2 linked regions of the Stegostoma tigrinum genome follow. The protein of the gene in region 1 interacts with the protein of each later gene in a pairwise test. Links are inferred from orthologs where the notes say so. Each region holds a gene or a part of one and is shown in the gene's direction. Other genes may lie near its edges. The genes, in order: transmembrane protein 43-like and GRAM domain-containing protein 2B.

Region 1 (10,908 bases):
CCCCCCACCCCACCTCCTCACCCCCCCCACCCCACCCCACCTCCTCACCCCCCCACCCCACCCCACCTCCTCACCCCCCACCCCAAATCCTCACACCCCCACCCCACCTCCTCACCCCCCCCACCCCACCTCCTCACCCCCCCCACCCCACCCCACCTCCTCACCCCCCCACCCCACCCCACCTCCTCACCCCCCACCCCACCCCACCTCCTCACCCCCCACCCCACCTCCTCACCCCCCCACCCCACCCCACCTCCTCACCCTCCCACCCCACCTCCTCACCCTCCCACCCCACCTCCTCACCCCCCCACCCCACCCCACCTCCTCACCCCCCCACCCCACCTCCTCACCCCCCCACCTCACCTCCTCACCCCCCCACCTCCTCACCCCCCCACCCCACCTCCTCACCCCCCCACCCCACCTCCTCACCCCCCCACCCCACCTCCTCACCCCCCCACCTCACCCCCCCACCCCACCTCACCTCCTCACCCCCCCACCCCACCCCACCCCACCTCCTCACCCCCCCACCCCACCCCACCTCACCTCCTCACCCCCCCACCCCACCTCACCTCCTCACCCCCCCACCCCACCTCACCTCCTCACCCCCCCACCCCACCTCACCTCCTCACCCCCCCACCCCACCCCCTCACCCCCCCCACCCCACCCCACCCCCTCACCCCCCCACCCCACCCCAACCCACCTCCTCACCCCCCCACCTCACCTCCTCACCCCCCCTCCTCACCCACCTCACCTCCTCACCCCCCTCACCCACCCCACCTCCTAATGCCCCTCACCCACCCCACCTCCTCACCCCCCTCACCCACCCCACCTCCTCACCCACCTCACCCACCCCACCTCCTCACCCACCTCACCCACCCCACCTCCTCACCCCCCTCACCCACCTCACCCACCCCACCTCCTCACCCCCCTCACCCACCCCACCTCCTCATCCCCCTCCTCACCCCGCTCACCCACCCCACCTCCTCACCCCCCCAACGCCTCACCCACCCCACCCCCCTCACCCACCCCACCCCCCTCACCCACCCCACCTCCTCACTCCCCTCACCCACCCCACGCCCTCACCCACCTCACCCACCCCCCTCACCCCCCCCTCCTCACCCCCCCTCCTCACTCACCCCCCTCACCCACCCCCCTCACCCCCCCCTCCTCACCCACCCCTCCTCACCCACCCCCCCTCACCCACCCCACCTCCTCACCCCCCTCCTCACCCCCCTCACCCACCCCACCCCCTCACCCCCCCCCCTCACCCCCCTCACCCACCCCACCCCCTCACCCCCCCCCCTCACCCCCCCTCCTCACCCACCCCCCTCAACCCCCCCTCCTCACCCACCCCCCTCACCCCCCCCTCCTCACCCCCCCCTCCTCACCCACCCCCCTCACCCCCCTCCTCACCCACCCCCCTCACCCCCCCCTCCACACCCCCCCCTCCTCACCCCCCCTCCTCACCCCTCCTCAACCCCCTCACCCCCCCACCTCCTCACCCACCTCACCCCACCCCACTCACCCACCCCCCTCACCCCCCCTCCTCACCCCCCCCTCACCCCCCCACCTCCTCACCCCCCCCACCCCCCCACCTCCTCACCCCCCCCTCCTCACCCCCCTCACCCCCCCCTCCTCACACCCCTCACCCCCCCTCCTCACACCCCTCACCCCCCCACCTCCTCACCCCCCTCACTCCCCACCTCCTCACCCCCCTCACCCCCCCCACCTCCTCACCCCCCTCACCCCCCCACCTCCTCACCCCCCTCACCCCCCCACCTCCTCACCCCCCCACCTCCTCACCCCCCTCACCCCCCCACCTCCTCACCCCCCTCACCCCCCCACCTCCTCACCCCCCTCACCCCCCCACCTCCTCACCCCCCTCACCCCCCCACCTCCTCACCCCCCTCACCCCCCGCTCACCCACCCCACCTCCCGCTCACCCACCCCACCTCCTCACCCCCCTCACCCACCCCTCACACATCCCACCTCCTCACCCCCCTCACCCACCCCACCTCCTCACCCCCCTCACCTCCTCACCCCCCTCACCCACCCCACCTCCTCACCCCCCTCACCCACCCCACCTCCTCACCCCCCTCACCCACCCCACCTCCTCACCCCCCTCACCCACCCCACCCCCTCACCCACCCCACCTCCTCACCCACCCCACCTCCTCACCCCCCTCACCCACCCCACCTCCTCACCCCCCTCACCCACCCCACCTCCTCACCCACCCCACCTCCTCACCCCCCTCCTCACCCCCTCACCCACCCCACCTCCTCAACCCCCTCACCCACCCCACCTCCTCACCCCCCTCACCCACCCCACCTCCTCACCCCCCTCACCCACCCCACCTCCTCACCCCCCTCACCCCCCCCTCCTCACCCCCCCTCACCCCCCCTCACCCACCCCCCTCCTCACCCCCCTCACCCACCCCCCTCCTCACCCCCCTCACCCACCCCCCCTCCTCACCCCCCTCACCCACCCCACCTCCTCACCCACCCCACCTCCTCACCCCCCTCCTCAACCCCACCTCCTCAACCCCCTCACCTCCTCAACCCCCTCACCCACCCCACCTCCTCAACCCCACCTCCTCAACCCCCTCACCTCCTCAACCCCCTCACCCACCCCACCTCCTCAACCCCCTCACCCCCCCCACCTCCTCAACCCCCTCACCCCCCCCACCTCCTCACCCCCCTCACCCACCCCACCTCCTCACCCCCCTCACCCACCCCACCTCCTCACCCCCCTCTTCACCCCCCTCACCCACCCCACCCCACCCCCTCACCCACCCCACCCCACCCCCTCACCCACCTCACCCACCCCACCCCCCTCACCCACCCCACCCCTCACCCCCCTCACCCACCCCCCCTCCTCACCCCCCTCACCCACCCCCCTCACCCCCCCCACCCCCTCACCCACCCCCCTCCTCACCCCCCTCACCCCCTCACCCACCCCCTCACCCACCCCCTCACCCACCCCCCTCACCCACCCCCCTCCCACCCCCCTCACCCCCCCCACCCCCCTCACCCCCCCCCCACCCCCTCACCCCCCTCACCCCCTCACCCACCCCCTCACCCACCCCCCTCCTCACCCCCCTCACCCCCCCCACCCCCTCACCCACCCCCCTCCTCACCCCCCTCACCCCCCCCACCCCCTCACCCACCCCCCTCCTCACCCCCCTCACCCCCCCCACCCCCTCACCCACCCCCCTCCTCACCCCCCCCACCCCCTCACCCACCCCCCTCCTCACCCCCTCACCCCCCCCCACCCCCTCACCCACCCCACCTCCTCACCCACCCCACCTCCTCACCCCCCTCCTCACCCACCCCACCTCCTCACCCACCCCACCTCCTCACCCCCCTCCTCACCCACCCCACCTCCTCACCCACCCCACCTCCTCACCCCCCTCCTCACCCACCCCACCTCCTCACCCCCCTCACCCACCCCACCTCCTCAACCCCCTCACCTCCTCAACCCCCTCACCCACCCCACCTCCTCAACCCCCTCACCCACCCCACCTCCTCACCCCCCCTCACCCACCCCACCCCCCTCACCCACCCCACCCCTCACCCCCCTCACCCACCCCACCCCCCCCACCCCCTCACCCACCCCCCCTCCTCACCCCCCTCACCCACCCCCCTCACCCACCCCCCTCACCCACCCCCCTCCTCACCCCCCTCACCCACCCCCCTCACCCTCCCCCCCTCCCCCTCCCCCCCTCCTCACCCACCCCCCTCACCCTCCCCCCCTCCTCACACCCCTCCTCACCCTCCCCCCCTCCTCACCCCCCCCCCTCCTCACCCCCCCCCCCTCCCCACCCCCCTCACCCACCCCCCTCACCTCACCCACCCCCCTCACCCACCCCCCTCACCCACCCCCCTCACCTCACCCACCCCCCTCACCCACCCCCCTCACCCCACCCACCCCCCTCACCCACCCCCCTCCTCACCCACCCCCCTCCTCACCCACCCCCCTCACCCCCTCACCCACCCCCCTCACCCCCTCACCCACCCCCCTCCTCACCCCCCTCACCCCCCCCACTCCTCACCCCCCTCACCCCCCCCACCCCCCCCACCCCCTCCTCACCCCCCTCACCCACCCCCCTCCTCACCCCCCTCACCCACCCCCCTCCTCACCCCCCCCACCCCCTCACCCACCCCCCTCCCCCACCCCCACCCCCTCACCCACCCCCCTCCCCCACCCCCCTCCTCACCCCCCTCCCCTACCCCCCTCCTCACCCCCCTCCCCTCCTCACCCCCCTCACCCCCTCACCCACCCCCCTCCTCACCCCCTCCTCACCCTCACACCTGACCCTCCGTTCCCCCACCCCCTCACCCACCCCCCTCCTCACCCACCCCCCTCCTCACCCCCTCCTCACCCCCCTCCCCCACCCCCCTCCTCACCCCCCTCACCCCCTCACCCTCACACCTGACCCTCCGTTCCCCACCCCCCCGGCCCCTCACCGTGCCGCCGGCAGTGGGACATCTCTCTCTCTCTCTGTCTCTCTCTCTGTCTCTCTCTCTCTCTCTCTCTCTGTGTGAGGGTTCGTGTCCGGGGGGGTGGGGAAGAAATGTGTTTCTCAGTCTCCGGCCCGTGCTCCCGGCCTGACCTCTGACCCACAGGCAGGAACCAATCACAGCGAGAGGGCGGGGCCAGAACCGGGGGCCCAATTTAAAGCCGCAGAGACGGCCCAAAGCACCTACCCTATGGAATCTATAACATACACCCTATAGAATGCACAATGTCCGTCATACTAATCCATTAGAATGTATAATGTCCACAATACCTACCCTGTAGAATCTATATTTTCCGTAAACCCACCCTATGGAATGTATATTGTCCATAATACCCACCCTATGGAATGTATAATATCCATCACATCCACCTACTGAATAAACAATATTTATTAAGTTATAATGGACCAACGAGTTTGTGAGAATGGGTGATTGTGGTCATTGAGAGAATCAGGTGTGGCTGTGGGTAAAAAGCATGGACGGACTGTATTAGGCTCTTAAGGTTATTGAACTCATTGTTGAGTTCTAGAGGCCACAAGATCCCCGAGTGGAAAGTAAGATGTTCTTTGACCTTGCATTGAGGTTGGCTGGAACTCTACAGCAAGCCTGCAACAGAAATTTTGGCATGAGAACACAGCGGTGTGTTGAAGTGGCAGGCAACAGAAAGCTTAGGATCATTTTTGCAGACAGAGCTTGGTTTTCTGCAAAGCGGTTTGTGTGACGCAGACTAGGTTACATTCTGTACAGCTCACCGATTTTCTCCTACTCTTAGCTCTCATTGTCACATATTCAGTTTTTTTTCTATTCTGGCCTGCTACCCGTAATTTCCCTGTCTACCTAGCTCTTTCATATCTCTGTCTCTGGGCTCCGTCTCCACCAATCCGCCCTCATCTCCCCTTCAGATTCCCAGCTTCAGCTTCAGCATAAATATCACATTTTTCTGGCTCATACCAGCTCTGATGAAGAGTCTCTGGACCCTGTGCTTTCTTCCCACAGTTGCTGTCAGTCCTACTGAGTTTCTCCAGCAATTTCTATTTTTGTTTTAGATTTCCAGCATTTGTAATTCATTGTTTTATTTTAATCTATAGAATCCACAGGCTCAAATATTGTACAATATGTAATAACATGTGATTAATCTGTAGAATTGACCAGCAGGAAAGTGCAGTGAAAGACACAATTGGATGAGTATGAACTTATAGAATGGCAGTATAAGTGAGTTTTGAGAAGTTTTGACAGTATAAGTCAGGGGCTGTCCCTGCTCCAAGCTAAGATGGTCTTGAAATTTTGTGTGGCCATGTTCAGTACAATTGTGCAATCACCTCAATATGAGTGGATGCAGGTGAATAAAGTCATTTATATACTGGGGTTTCATTTTCCCTGGGGACCAGGTTCAAGCTGAAGAAAACTACAGCTCCCAGCATGCTTGCGGGAGGGTCCTAACCTTCCCAGGCGGAGCCCGGGGAGGCCACCACCCAGCATCCTCCGGTAGGTAAGACTACAATCCCCAGCATTCCTGGGGAGTCGACACCATCTCCCGGCAAGCTTCACGGGAGTAGGTCCGTCCCTCAGGAGTGCGCAGGCGCAGAATGTATCCCCCTTGAAGCCGGAAGTGAAGGTGTGAGAGGGGCTAGAGCTGACTGTGGTCTCCCCCCTCAGTGTGTGTTATTGGCAGGGAAACCATGGTGAGGCCTAATGTAAGTTCAGAACCACAAACAACAGCCTTGTCAACGTGCAGGTGAAGATTAATCTGAATTGGCGTTGGACACATTATCATCTGAAGATATTCCTGGGGAAGGGAGTTCCCTTCTATATTCTGACAGCCCAGATCCACGTGGCACAGCTTTGAACCTGAGGAAGACAAAGTTCCCATCTCCCTGGCATATTTGCAAGAGATCTGATATCTCTTCTTGTAAAATCAAAGGGGCTAACCAGAGTCCTTCTCCCTACCTCCCCCCCCCCCCCCCCCCCCAATCAGAACCACCAACCCTTCCCTATGTCTACTATGGCCCTGGACTGAAGCCAACAACTCTCCATCAGTTGCTGTTTTTTTTGTTTCTAATCAGCACAATTGTTGGCCAGTGCCAGAGCAAATCAAAATGATGCTGCACTATAATCAAAACATAATGGGTGGGAGGGTGCAAGTCTTGGTTAGTGAGATGTCACTGACGATGTGTAAATGACTTCAGACCCATTTGTCAAGATTATATTTTAAATGCTGTGTAAGATCCTCAGCTAAGTCAGTCAGCTCAATTATACTGGTTCTGGGTAAAATGAATGGGCAATAAATGTCAGTCTGACCAGGAATGCCCACAGCCCAACATCAAAAATTGTGTCACTGTTGTTTAAACACCTTCTGTTTTTGGGTGTGCCTGTACTGAATGGCCTGCAGCAGTTAATGAAGGCAGACAACATTTTGAAGGGAATTTAGAGATGGCCAGCCTAGCCAATACTATTCCACATCCCGTGAAAATGTTTACAAAGTTCATCTGTCTTCATTTCGCTTTTAAGATGGTACTTAAAGATTCATGAAAGCTTGTCCCTTCTGGTTTTGCAGCAACCAGGAGGCAGCAGGGATGAACACGTGAAGGTCACAAATCAGAAGAAGCAGGGATTCCTGGAACGTCTTGGGGAGACAATGGGGGGAATGGTGGTGGGAGTGCTTATCTTCACCTTGTCCTTCTACCTCCTCTTCACCAATGAGGTAGGTGCAGAGGTTGGATTACATGCTGTTTTCTGGGCAGGCATCAGTTATCCTGTTCAATTTGTGGTATCAGTGTCTGTTGCTCAGTGGGTAGCTCGCGCTCATTTCTGAATCAGAAGTTCATGGGTTCAAATCCCACATCAGGGACCTGGGCAAACAGAAGAATCTGAGGTGATAGTTTTTGTAAAATGCATGATGAGGAACGTTGATGTGAAACTTAACTGGATTTGATACACAACAAAACGTAAACAACGTGGCTACAAGAGCAGGTCAGAGGCTAGGAATACACCGGTGTGTAACTCCCCTCCTGACTCCCCAAAACACATCTAACCATCTAAAGGCACAAGTCAGGAGTGTGATGGAATACTCCCCACTTGCCTGGATGGATGCAGCTCTAACAACACTCAAGAAGGAATGAGGTGTGCAGTGAGCTGCCAATGTGTCGTTACTTGGCTTCATGTTCCTTACAGATAAAAGATCAAAGCTGAATGAGCTGAACTGTGAACTGCACAGAGAGGATAGAGACTTAGCAATGTGGGATCATTTCTACAGGCTAATTTCAGGAATTAGATGCATTGGAATGAACGGTCATGTCTCCCTCCGGTCTCTTCCTTCAAGTAGACGTTGTTGGGCTGGCTATCAGATTCCATTAGGTATTTGATTTACAAGTCCGTGGTATTGAAGTGGACATAATTAACTGTGCCAAATGATATTGAGCTGGAAGCTGGAACAAGGGACAGTGATGTTTGGAGATTTGTAAACAGAGAAAAATACACACTGCTATTATCCTGTGGTTTTACAATGAAAGCTTTGGTACCACATCCCTCTGAGACAGCATTCTCCCAAATACAGATAATCAAGTCCAAGTATCTCACCTGCCTCACAAATGCCCGTGTGATGGACTGTATAGAACTAGCTAGTTCAAATTATAATTTGGCTACTCAAAGAGGAGGATAACATACTGAGCCTATATGTAGAAGACAAAATGAATAATCAGATATACTAAAAATAAATGCATTATTTTCTTTCAGGTAGATTCTTGTTTGCACTAAAACTCAAAAAGTGATCTTGTGCTTAAGAATGTTGAAGTCCCTTGAAATAACACCATCTTCCTTCCTCTGGCTATCTGAGTTCTTCTAGATGTTGTCATGTCCCGGTTACCGCTCACTAGTATTCCCTGTAAACTGGGCACAGCAGCGTGGTAGGGCAGTGACACAGAATATTCTGCTTGGTGCAGTTACCAGGAACATTGCCCATGTGTGTTGTTGATGAACGTTTTGCTCACAGTCTGACGGTAATTCCATTGAAAAAATCATCAACCACTTGTTTGAACCCAACATAGACTCGCACTTTACATCTTGCTGTAACCTCTTCCAGTCCCCAAATCCTCCGATATCTCTGCCTCGCTCCAATTCTAATCCCTGGAGTATCTGTGATTTTAATCCCTCCGCCATTGAATGCTATACCGACAGCTGTCTGGACTCAACACTCTAGAATTCCCTCCATAAACCTCTCTAATTGTCTCTTTCTTTATCTCTCTATCCTCCTTTAAGATGCCGGTCTGTTTGAGATTTTGGTCACTAATGCTGCATTTTTATGTTGCTGGGTGACGGTTATTCTCTAATCTACGTTCTTGTGAAATGTCTTGGAACATTTTATATTGTGCTGATGTAGTTCTATAAAAGCAGGTTTATTTACAAGGCTCCTCTGACAACATCTCCTAAAACCATAACAGTTACCATCTGGAAAGAAAACGGTAGCACATGCAGGCACTCGCTGGGTTGGGAATGGGTCCCAGTCCTGACCCCATTCACAAACTGACTTGTACCCAGATTGGAGCACAGTGAAGGACAGTGTAGAGGAACTGTTCCTAAATTCAGGAAGTGTTCATGTGTTGGGTGTATAAAATTTCTCCCTTTATGGAATTGTGTTTGTAAGTAGGAGTGTTTGTAAATCAGTGACCCCCGTATGTGGGAACACCATCCCCTGCAAGTTCCCCTCCAAGCCCCTCACCATCCTGACTTGGAAATATATCCCCGTTCCTTCAGTGCCACTGTGCCAAAATCCTGGAATTCCCTCCCTAAGGGACATTGTGGGTCAACTCACAGCACATGGACTGCAGTGGCTCTTGAAGGCATCTCATCCCCACCTTCTCAAGAGAGCAACTACGGACGGACAATAAATGTTGAATTGAATTGAGTTAACTCTATTGTCATGTACTCAAATGAGTACAGTGATCAGTTTATGTGTCGCCACTTACAGCACCACCTTAGGTACAAAGGTACCGAGGTTCAGATTCTTTAGTAACTCCGTCTTAGAAAACAGAGAAGTAAAAGCCCAGAACAACCATCTTCCCACCCAGCCCACACTGGCACCTCCAGTCCACACTGGGCCCTGGCTCCAGATCATGCTTGGCCAAGAGACTGCCACACTGGGGTGTCCAGCTAGTCACACCCATGTCCTGTGAATTAATTGTTAATATATGTTGCTGTCTTCAGCTGCTGTGGTGAATGAGCTTTCTTTTGTCTAATTTTCACTCCATAGCACTTATCAATGTTTGCCAACTGTAACACTCCTTCTTGTGCAGGGAAGATGTGTCAGAACTCAGAACTCCCTGGATGAAGGTCTTTCCCTGGTGGTGTCCTTAAGTGATGTCTTCACTCCTTTACCTCAAAATGATGGGAAACTTGTGCATCTCTCTGGCTCCCTCTTGACATTGCAGGTGAGTGAGGAATATCCTGTCTTGAAAATAAATAGTTTCCTGAGGTAATGGGGTCAAATAGATGGAGGTGATGGCCTAATGGTATTATCACTGCATGGGTAAACGCCAGCTAATGTTCTGGGCACCAGGGTTCAAATCCCACCCCGACAAATGATAGAACTTGATCAATTAAACAGAAAACCTGTAATTATAAATATATTGATGACCATGTAACCATTGTTGATTGTTGTAAAATCCTGTCTGAGTCTATTAGTATCCTTTGAGGAAGAAATATGCCATCCTTACCCTGGCCCACATGGGACTTCAGATCCACAGCAGTGTGGTTGACTCTTAACCCTATGAAATGGCCTTGCAAGCCACTCAGTTGTGTCAATTGCTAGAAAGGAAAAAATATTAAATGTGACAGATCACCTGGCATTGACCTAAGATAATGGCAGAAACAGCCCTGTCGACCCTACAGTGTCCTCCTTACTGAGATACTGGTGCTAGTACAACTAGGAGAGCTCTCTCATATTCACAGAATCATACCTTACAAACAGTGTCCCAGATACCAGCATCACCATCCCTGGAAATGTCCTGTCGCACTGAGAGGTCAGACCCGGTTGGGGGACGGTTAAACATGGGCAAGGAAACCTCCTGCTAATTACCACATACCATCCTCCCTCAGCCGATGGATCAGTCTCTCCTCCATGTTGAACAACACTTAGAGGAACCACTGAGGATGCTAAGGGCACAAAATGTGCTCTGGGTGGGGGATTTCAATGCCCAACACGAACAGTGGCTCCACAGCAGTACTACTGATCGAGCTGGTCGGGTCCTAAAGGACAGAGCTGTCAGACTGGGTCTGCGGCAGGTGGTGAGGGAACCAACAAGAGGGAAGAACATACTTGACCTCATCCTCACCAATTTACCAGCTGCAGATGCATCTGTCTGTGACAGTATCGGTGAGAGTGACCATCGCACAGCCC
Region 2 (10,857 bases), on another chromosome or scaffold:
AAGCAACTAAGAAAGCAAATGGCATGTTGAAATCCAATCCCCTATTCAGTCATTTTACATCTATAAAGAAAGACGTAATTATATTGGAGGGAGTGAAAGAAAAGCTTCACAGTAGAATGGTATATGGGATGTGGTCTCCTCGACGTTAGGGAGACAAAATGCAGACTAGGCAATGACTTTGCAGAACACCTATGTTCTGTCCTCATAAATGACCCCTAACTTTCAGTTGCCTGACATTTAAAGACACCACCATATTACCTGCCAATATTTCTATCTCAGGCCTGCTACAGTCGTCCAGCAAGGCTCAATGTAAGCTGGGAGAACCGCATTTTGTTTTCTGCTTGGGGACCCTATAGCCTTCAAGACTCAATACTGAATTCAATAATTTTAGGGCTTGAATATGTTTTTCCATGCCCCCTACACAACCCCACACACCCCTGGCCCTATCATCACACCATCTGCTTTGATGTCAGCCAGCCCATTTTCACTACTCATGGTCCCCGTTATCATTTTTTCTTTTTCCCTGGCTTAACATTATCCATCCCTTTGTTTGTCTAACTAGTGCTCTCTCTCGCTCTCTCTCTCTCTCTCTCTCTGGGATCTCTCGCCACCTTACACATCCTCCACCACTGTCTTCAGCATATATACCACCTTTTTCAAGCCACTATTAGATCTGATGAAGGGTCACTGCACCTGAACTGTTAACTCCGCTTTCTCTCCACCGATGTTGCCAGTTTCTCCCAAAATTTCTGTTTCCGTCTAGGATGAGGGGATGGTTCTACAACAGGCTGAGTAAATTGGGTTTATATTCATAGAATTTAGAAGAATGAGATGTGATCAGATTGAAACATTAAAGATAATGAAGGGGCTAAACAGGGTATATTCTAAGACATTGTTCCCTAGTCTAAGGATACAAGAAAAAGGGTACAGATTTTGGACAAATCGTCAACCACTTAGAACCAAGATGAGGAGAAACTCCTTTACTTACCTGGTTGAGAAACTTGGAATTCTCTACCCAGAAGACTGTGAATGCTCCATTATTCAATTCATTTAAGGCTTGAATGGACAGGTGTTTGCACTTTTGGAGAATAAAGTGATGAGGAAGAGAAGGTGGGAAGGTGAAATTGAAGCCAAAGATCAGTCCTAGACATACTGGCAAGTATGGCAAGTTTAACAGGCCCTTAGCAAACTATTTTGTAAATTACTGAATAGGTGTATCAACTATATTCTGAGGCTCATATTTTTAGATCATACTGTTATCTCTCCCATCTCCTATAGCTGTCGTATAATTATGAAGAGCATTTCTTCCTGTTATCAGAGTTTTGTGCAGTACCAGTCAGAGAAATGCAGACTAGGAAATAAGGTCAAAACAGAAGAAAAATGTCTTCATACACTCACTCAAAAATAAATTACTTCTGCTGGCAGAAGTGCACTTTGAAAATATTGTGATGCCTCTGTTGGTGAATGGAGCATCTTCCACTTCAGACCCTGAATATTAGCAAACATTTTAAAAATTCATTCATGCAATGTGAGCATTGCTGGTTAGGCCAGCATTTGTTGCCCATCCTTGCTTGTGCATAGGGCAGTTAAGAGTTAACCATATTGCAATGAGTTTGGAGTCACATGTAGGCCAGACCAGGTAAGGATGGCAGATTTCCTCCCCCAAAGAACATTAATGAACCAGATGTGTTTTTGTTACAATTAATGGTGATTACATGATTGCTATTAGGCCAGCTGTTCAGTCCAGAGCTTTTCATTGAGTTCAAATTTCACCATCTCCCATGGCAGAATTCTAGCTGTATGCTAAGACATTAGCCTGGGGCTCTGGTTTGTTAGTCCATTGACATAACACCACCACCACCTTTAAATGTGCAGGAAAGCTCCAATAATGTGCTGAAATATACCATTCGCATTGCTCGTGATACACTTTCCATTCCTTGTACCAGCTATCCCATAATTTCTTTATGAACATTATTAAATGCTAAACAGTAACAATACAGCAGCATATCAGCTTAGTGTGGGGCTTAAACATACAAATGTCTGATTCAGGAACAGAAACAAAGATAGACTTACTTTCCACTTATATTTCATGATCTTGGGACTCGCCGAAGCTCTTTATAGCCGATGGAGTACATTTGATACGCTGTCATTTTTGCAATGTTGGCAAGTAGCAGCTAATGTGCACATAGCCGTCCATAAATAGCAATACAAATCATCAGAGAATCTTTTGTTGTGAGATGGTTTGCGAGTTAAACATTGGTCAGGATACCAGGGACAACCCCATTGCTTTCTTCAAGGTAATATCATGAGATCTTTGACATTCTGTTGCAATAACAGACAGGTGTCAATTTAAGGTCTCCATCAAAAGGCTGCACCTTTGAAAGTGGAGCACTTCGTCAATACTACGCCAACATGCAGCCAAACTTTTATTCTGGAATCAGAGGAGTGGAGTGAGACTTTAGTTCACAATGATCTGGCTGAGAGGCGAGGATTACACAAAGCCTCACTGGAAGGGACTGGGAATGTGTCAGGTATGCTGTCGCTGTGACTCAAGGAAATACTGCTGTAATGATGTTTTTTCTAAACTGAACTGAATGCAGATATCTGCTCCAAATGCAAAGCCTTTGAAATGTAACGTCCCTCATGATAAACCTGAGATTGCAATCATGAGTCAAATCCAGGCCCACGGTATAGCACAGCTATCGTAGACACACCAACACTGGCAATAGCAATTTAATGGCAAAAATAGTCCCATTGCTGCTTCTGGATGCAGTGAAACCCATCTGAAGAAAAGAGCAATGATGCTCACTGGGGATGACCACCAAGAACAAGCACTAGTGTGCTCAGGAATATCAATTTCCCATGCAGAGGTTCTGCTATAACGTATAGTTGTGTACCCGTGCAACATCGTGTAACAGAAAAATCGCACCAATGAAATAATGAGTCCTATGGGAAAAATGGGATTGGGGCAGACAACAACAAAAAAAATCACTCAATATTTGCTCAAAAATCACTCAAAAGCCTAACACAAAGGATAACACAACTTGAATAAATGTTTAGTTCATATCTAATAGTGAAATAAAAGTAAATTTAACATGTTACCTTGAAAAAATGTCAAGTTGACTAGATGGGGACGAAGGTTGTACTGTACCTCTCACAAAAAGCACTTCACAACAAAGCCCACAAATGATCATGTGATGCTGGTGTGGAGACTCTATCGGTGCTAACATTGTTTCACAGGCTTTGTCGTGAAACAGTACAATCATGTGATGCTGACATGTGCTCCTCCACACACCAATGGAATCATGTTATAGCCAACACAAGTTGGCATTTTAAAGACAGCAGGAACTGCAGATGCTGGAGAATCTGACATAACAAGGTGTAGAGCTGGATGAACACAGCAGGCCAAGCAGCATTAGAGGAGCAGGAAAGCTGACATTTCGGGTCTGGACCCTTCTTCAGAAATGGATCTTCTGAAGAAGGGTCCGGACCCGAAACGTCAGCTTTCCTGCTTCTCTAATGTTGCTTGGCCTGCTGTGCTCATCCAGCTCTACGCCTTCTTATTTCATATTTTAGAAACAGTGTTCCCCTATTCATCAATCGCATTATCGCCAATTTGCATTGACAGAACACGCATTATAGCAGAACCAATCTGCCCCGGGTTTCACCGTCATCAAAACAGAAACCACACATCAGGAGCCACACTGTGTTCCAGCCACTAGAGGGCCCAGCAGCTCATTTTAAGCACTATAATTTAACCAATAATTCCATATGTGGCATTACAGAGAGATAGCTATTGCACATTGTGCAAAGGATATGAAGAGAGTCTGCACACACGTAGACGTGTCCACCACTTCACAATGTTTTATGCAGAGGAAGCTGTCAGCTGTTGGTTTTGTACTTTTCCAGATCGGTGGGGAGAAGAGCAAACAGCGATGGAACGAAGTCATATTTACCTTTGATTGCTTTTGAAGAAACTTCTTATTTTGTTTTGGACTTAGAATCCGTTATAGTACAGGGCAAACTTCAGTACACTGAATATTCGGCGATATTGAAGAACCTCTTTGAGCTGCATAAACGATATGACCTTCCAACTTGGCCCCAGCCTTCAATTTTATACAGATACAAACCAAACTGCACGAATGTATAGAAGATAACAAAGTGTGAAGCTGGATGAACACAGCAGGCCAAGCAGCATCTCAGGAGCACCAAAGCTGAAATTTCGGGCCTAGACTCTTCATCAGAGAGGAGGATGGGGTGAGGGTTCTGGAGTAAATAGGGAGAGAGGGGGAGGCGGACGGAAGATGGAGAGAAAACAAGCTAGGTAGAGAGGAGAGTATAGGTGGAGAGGTAGGGAGGGGATAGGTCAGTCCAGGGAAGATGGACAGGTCAAGGAGGCAGGATGAGGTGGTAGGTAGGAAATGGAGGTGCGGCATGAGGTGGGAGGAAGGGATGGGTGAGAGGAAGAACAGGTTAGGGAAGCAGAGACAGGCTGGGCTGGTTTTGGGATGCAGTGGGGGGAGGGGACAAGCTGGGCTGGTTTTGTGATGCAGTGGGGGAAGTGGGGGGGAAGAACTGGGCTGGTTTTGGGATGCAGTAGGGGAAGGGGAGATTTTGAAGCTTATGAAGTCCACGTTGATACCATTGGGCTGCAGGGTTCCCAAGCGGAATATGAGTTGCTGTTCCTGCAACCTTTGGGTGGCATCATTGTGGCACTGCAGGAGGCCCATGATGGACATGTCGTCTGAAGAATGGAAGGCGGAGTTGAAATGGTTTGCGACTGGGAGGTGCAGTTGTTTGTTGCGAAGCGAGCAGAGGTGTTCTGCAAAGCAGTCCCCAAGCCTCCGCTTGGTTTCCCCAATGTAGAGGGTGCCACACCGGGTGCAATGGATACAATATACCATATTGACAGATGTGCAGGTGAACATCTGTTTGATATGGAAGGTCATCCTGGGGCCTGGGATGGGGGTGATGGGGGATGAGGCATGAAGGTGCCGAGTGTGGTGGGGTTGGAGTGGACAAGGGAGTCGCGGAGAGAGTGGTCTCTCCAGAAGGCAGACAAGGATGGGGATGGAAAAATGTCTTGGGTGGTCGGGTCAGATTGTAGATGGCGGAAGTGTCGGAGGATGATACGTTGTATCCGGAGGTTGGTGGGGTGGTATGTGAGGACGAGGGGGATCCTCTGGGGGCGGTTGTGGCGAGGGTGAGGTGTGGGGGATGTGTTGCGGGAAATGCGGGAGACGTGGTCAAGAGCGTTCTCGACCACTGCGGGGGGAAAGTTGCGGTCCTGGAAGAATGTGGACATCTGGGATGTGCGGGAGTGGAATGCCTCATCCTGGGAGCAGATGCGGCAGAGGCAGAGGAATTGGGAATAGGGGATGGAATTTTTGCAGGAGGGTGGGTGGGAGGAGGTGTATTCTAGGTAGCTGTGGGAGTCAGTGGGCTTGAAATGGACATCAGTTTCTAGCTGGTGGCCTGAGATGGAGGCTGAGAGGTCCAGGAAGGTGAGGGATGTGTTGGAGATGGCCCAGGTGAACTTGAGGTTGGGGTGGAGGGTGTTGGTAAAGTGGATGCTTCGCATAAACAACTGCACCTCCCAGTCGCAAACCATTTCAACTCCGCCTCCCATTCTTTAGATGACATGTCCATCATGGGCCTCCTGCAGTGCCACAATGATGCCACCCGAAGGTTGCAGGAACAGCAACTCATATTCCACTTGGGAACCCTGCAGCCCAATGGTATCAACGTGGACTTCATAAGCTTCAAAATCTCCCCTTCCCCCACCGCATCCCAAAGCCAGCCCAGTTCTTCCCCCCTCCCCCCACTGCATCACAAAACCAGCCCTTTCGTTCCCTCCCCCCACTGCATCCCAAAACCAGCCCAGCCTGTCTCTGCTTCCCTAACCTGTTCTTCCTCTCACCCATCCCTTCCTCCCACCTCAAGCCGCACCTCCATTTCCTACCTACCACCTCATCACGCCTCCTGGACCTGTCCATCTTCCCTGGACTGACCTATCCCCTCCCTACCTCCCCACCTATACTCTCCTCTCCACCTATCTTCTTTTCTCTCCATCTTCGGTCCACCTCCCCCTCTCTCCCTGTTTATTCCAGTTCCCTCTCCCCATCCCCCTCTCTGATGAAGGGTCTAGGCCCGAAACGTCAGCTTTTGTGCTCCTGAGATGCTGCTTGGCCTGCTGTGTTCATCCAGCTCCACACTTTGTTATCTTGGATTCTCCAGCATCTGCAGTTCCCATTATCACTGCACAAATGTATAGCTGTTTAAAACAGTAGCAACAGCAGGGCTTAATATCCACGCACAGATAAACCCTATGCCAAATCGTAGGGGTGTCAAAACGTTCCTCTCCGTTCTACTTAATGCATCTTAGCTAAAGAGTGGAGACAGCCCTCAAAGGTTGTGAATTTGTCTGTTTCTTCACCGAGGCTCCAGCATTTTCTCCAAGTATTACCTCATACAGTGTGATCAAAATACCCGGGCACGTTGTGAAGTAATACCCTGTCTAAATAATTGACAATATGTACTTACACCATTGATAGCTGCACGAAATTGGAGGGTTGCTGTCATACACACCCTGAGTGCCTGCAGAGCTAGCAGTTTCGTTTATGATTGGTTGAAATAACAAGGAGGGGTGGATACTACACAATTGGAGGTGTTCCCTCCGGGCGATAGGTGGACTGTTCAGTAAAATCTAAAATAAAAGTTTGTACGCCTGCTTTAAGAAAGTTTGCAACCTATCTGACTAAGTTCTCCTAGTTAGATTAGCAAACAGTTTTTGTTCTCCTTTCGGCTTTCCTCAGGAAAGGCTACCCGTCCGGTGGTGCGATTTTCGAGCATACTCACGTCTGCCTGGAACAAAGAACATCCCTTCCCCCTCTTCCCTGAAGTCTGGGGGAGTGTTATACAGGGGTGAAGCCAGTTTGTAAGTCGAGTAATTCGTAAGAAAGAAGCCAATGACTGAGCAAAGCCAGAATTCTACTCCAGGGGAAGAAGTGAAGTCTACAAGATTTCTTAGTAAAAAAGACTCTAAAAACGTTTCATTTCAGTAAGTATGACGTTTTCCTCCGAAGCATTATTTTAAATTGCAATTGCTGAATATTGAGTGTTGTTTGCAAGTAAAATGTTTGAATCTTAAGCTGCTTTAGTTTAGCTTTTGTATGTTTTACCTATATGCAGACTGTTACTGCCAACTTTAGTTTCAAGTTTAGCTTACTAGGCCTCTAATGCTTGAATGCTAAGTGATTTACCTTTTACAGACAGTATTTTGCTGTCTTGTAGAACAACACATTGTTTCATCATTTGCCCAAATGAACTATTATTGAAAAGGAGTAGCAGATAATGAGTGTTATTTCACTTTTAATTTGAGTTCTGCAGGTTTGTTTACCTAGTTCCTTTTAACTCTACAATATCTAACAGCAATGTTTTGGTTAGATGAAAGCATCTGAAACAAACTATTTTAGATATAGATCTTTAGCAAGCACTTCTTGATCAGCTTTAAGAACAAGAAAATTTCAAGTTTAAGTACTTCTTCTCCAATAAAGGGAATAAACTTTGTTTTCAGTATATCAGTACAGTGCCAGGTGCTTTCAAAAATTTTCATAACTAACATAATTACTTACAGTAATGGTGCACTTAACATTGTCACCTCTGAATCCATTATTCTTCACAACAGTAGAAAGTAATTCCAATATTGCCTATTGATTTGAATCTGACCCACCACTTGGAGGCTACAATGCATCAATTGAGCTTGACATCACAAGAAATGATTGTGTGGGATGGGGGTTATGCAGAAAAGAAGACTTTGTTTGATCAGTGCACAGTTTTTCTAATCCCAAGATATCCTGAAGCACTTCCCAGTCTGTGAAATGCCATTGTAGTAAAGCTGCCAGTTGGTGGAAAGCAAAGTCCCAAGCAGCAAAATAAAATTTTATTCTATCATTGAATAGAGTAGCACAGAAGACTGTCAGCCCATTGACTAACACTATAGCTCATTTTTTAAAAAAAAACAGTTCAATTAACCTCACTTTGTTTAATTGTTGACTGAGGAATAAATATGTGCCACAACACTGGAGAGAATGTGCCTGATGCCCATCAAAATATTGATGACACCTTTCCATTTATCTGTGGAGGCAGACCAGAAGACTGTGCCTCTACCAGTGCATTAATATTCAGTGATGCATTGCTATGTCCACAAAGATTTTTGTGCTGTAATTTCTGGAGTGGACCCTGAATGCATAAACCTCTGCCTCAGTCTGTTTCCAGTAGGGTTTAGCTCAAAGTTAGGAGAGCAACCAGACAAGCTTCACTAGAGATACAATTACATCACCTGAATCAGGTCACGTTCTCTACATCCTGCTCTGTGGAAAATATAGAGACATCCTATTCCAGCTACTGGGTCACCACAACTATCTTGACTGTTGCCCAGTTGTTCAACTTCACATCAGTTATGTCTGTACCATGTTTTGCTGCAGCACCTTGAATAGGCTTGCCCCTGTCTGTTCACCCCCTGCAACCTGTGCTGGTAGCCCATTTCTGACGACTAGTCCAGCACTACTTCCAGCAGAGTATGCTGTCAGTGCTTTCAATCTTGTTTCTCCCTTTCTTTTTCTCCTTTCTCTTCCCACCCTGCCATTCTGTCACTATGCTCAAAGCATAATGCATGGTTGTCTCAATGCTCCGACATCCAAGTCAGTCTTAACCTACTTGTTCTCTCTCTCTCTCTCGCTCGTTTGTTTATCCTACCCGGTCCCAATTTAATTTTATCCATTTTCCTTTCACTAATGCCCACTTGCAGCTCCACATTCCCCACCCCCACACTCATCCAGTCATCTTCTTGAATCACTTTGGTTGTAGGGAGTTTTTAATCCAGTGATAAGAAGGGATAGTGAAATAATCCAAGTCAGGATGGTGCAAGGGTCAGAGATAAACTTGCAGTGATAGTGTTCTAATGCATCTATGGTCTTCTACTTTCTAAGTAGAGGTAGTTACGAGCTTGAAAGACAGTATAAGAGGAGCCTTGTTGAGTTACAGAACACCCAGTGCAGAAACAGACCCTTCGGTCCAATTTGGTCATGTCAACCAAGTTTTCCCAAATTAAACTAGTCCCACTTACCTGTGTTTGGCCTGTATCCACCTAAACCTCTCCTATTCACGTACTTGTTCAAATGCCTTTTAAATGTTGTTGTAATTGTGTTGGCTGCGAGCACTTGAAACCAAAAGTGCTGGGGATCATAGGGGACCAGGCAGCATCCATGGAAGGAGAGTAAGCTAATGCTTGAAGACTAGGTGACTCTTCTTCAGAGCTGAGGTGAATTGTGGATTGGACAGCGTTTAAGCAATAGTGAATTGTCCCCTCCACACTTCACCTTGAGACAATTTTAAGTAATCATCTATTGCAAGCAAAACAGAACACATCATAATCAAAACATGAAGCATTAACAGAAATAGCTGGAAAATCTCAGCATGCCTGGCATCATCTAGAGAGAGAAATCTGAGTTAACATTTCAGGTCCACTGACCCTTCTGAAACCCAAACAAATCTTTAACAAATGCTTGTGCTGTACAGAAACTCAAACTACTTTTGAACAGCTTTATATACAATGATGCTTCAGTGCAGTGAAATCTCAAGGCTCCAGTTCCTGAATTAGGATCACCGAGTTTGACTTTTTTGTTGTTGTTGAACTGAAGCTAAGTAATTGCTGCCCCTGTGTTCAGACCCTGGCTTTGTAAAATGGGAAATGCAAGAATAACAACTACTTGGATTGGTGTGACTGAGGGTAATTGATCTCTCCATGTGGATTTTGTGTTGTTGATTTATTTTCTATTGATTTAACTTTCCTGTTGGCTCCTTTTGTTCAATAATGGAAAGTAAGATGATACAAAATCTTTATAACATTGAAAGGAGGCAGTATATTTCCAGAGGGGAAAAAGTAAGAAAAAAATGCGAAAACTGTAGGAGGTGCAATATGGGAGAGAGAGAGATAATGGGAACTGCAGATGCTGGAGATTCCAAGATAATAAAATGTGGGGCTGGATGAACACAGCAGGCCAAGCAGCATCTCAGGAGCACAAAAGCTGACGTTTCGGGCCTAGACCCTTCATCAGAGAGGGGGATGGGGGGAGGGAAAAGGTGCAATATGGACCTGTTCATGTATATTGGCAAGATGCAGAGGATTTTCAACTGTGATTTCTGTTTGGATATTGTTCCTTTCACGGAATGAAAAATGACTAGTATATTAAAAATTTCTACATAGTTCGAGATTTTGACCTGCTAATGTCCTGTTGTTATCACAAAGGGTCTCACAAAAAGACTGCATATTCGATAGAAGCTTAATACACTAGTTCTATGATGTACTGTGTAAAAGATTTGGGTACAGATCCTTTGGTAGATAATCCTTTTATACAGGCCACTAAAAAATAAGAATTAGCAAACATAACCGTGTTATGGTGTTTAATAATAGCAGCAGGTTGATAGGGGTGTGGACACAGACATGGCCTTTTGGTATCACACAGACTGGATTGTTCCTGTAGAATGACGGACTTTTCAGCTGCATTTGGCAATGAGAATATGAACTCGGTAACATCCCATATGTGTAGCCACTTCCCATTTCCTTCTAGGAACAATATTTGGAAATTAAGTAACTCTCATTAGGGTCAGGAAAGTAGAATGAAAGCGCTTCGAATACAAAGATATTAAATTTGGAGCTTTGAAATAGATTTGGGAGAAGAGCGTTGAAAGTTTGAGCATTTGTTGGGGATGCTTTGTGTGTACTTAAATGCTTGAAATGGGAAATACCAAACTTTTTAAAAGATCAAGCAGTGACCTTTTTTTTAATGTTGTGTG

Evidence for each region.
Region 2: the proteins of transmembrane protein 43-like (region 1) and GRAM domain-containing protein 2B interact in binary tests that used the Homo sapiens proteins (3 or more experiments, as listed by UniProt). The two-hybrid records come from large-scale screens. The link is inferred for Stegostoma tigrinum from reciprocal best matches to the Homo sapiens genes TMEM43 and GRAMD2B.

Annotation. Positions count from the first base shown.
Region 1 is NC_081364.1:2,798,149-2,809,056, forward strand, and holds the start of transmembrane protein 43-like, read left to right. Parts: upstream 1-6,076; 5' UTR 6,077-6,196; coding exon 6,197-6,211; intron 6,212-7,071; coding exon 7,072-7,218; intron 7,219-9,805; coding exon 9,806-9,940; intron 9,941-10,908. Other genes in the region: mitochondrial intermembrane space import and assembly protein 40-like, read right to left, coding at 4,467-4,488. UniProt on the Homo sapiens protein: May have an important role in maintaining nuclear envelope structure by organizing protein complexes at the inner nuclear membrane. Required for retaining emerin at the inner nuclear membrane.
Region 2 is NC_081356.1:69,135,585-69,146,441, reverse strand, and holds the start of GRAM domain-containing protein 2B, read left to right. Parts: upstream 1-6,651; 5' UTR 6,652-6,968; coding exon 6,969-7,060; intron 7,061-10,857.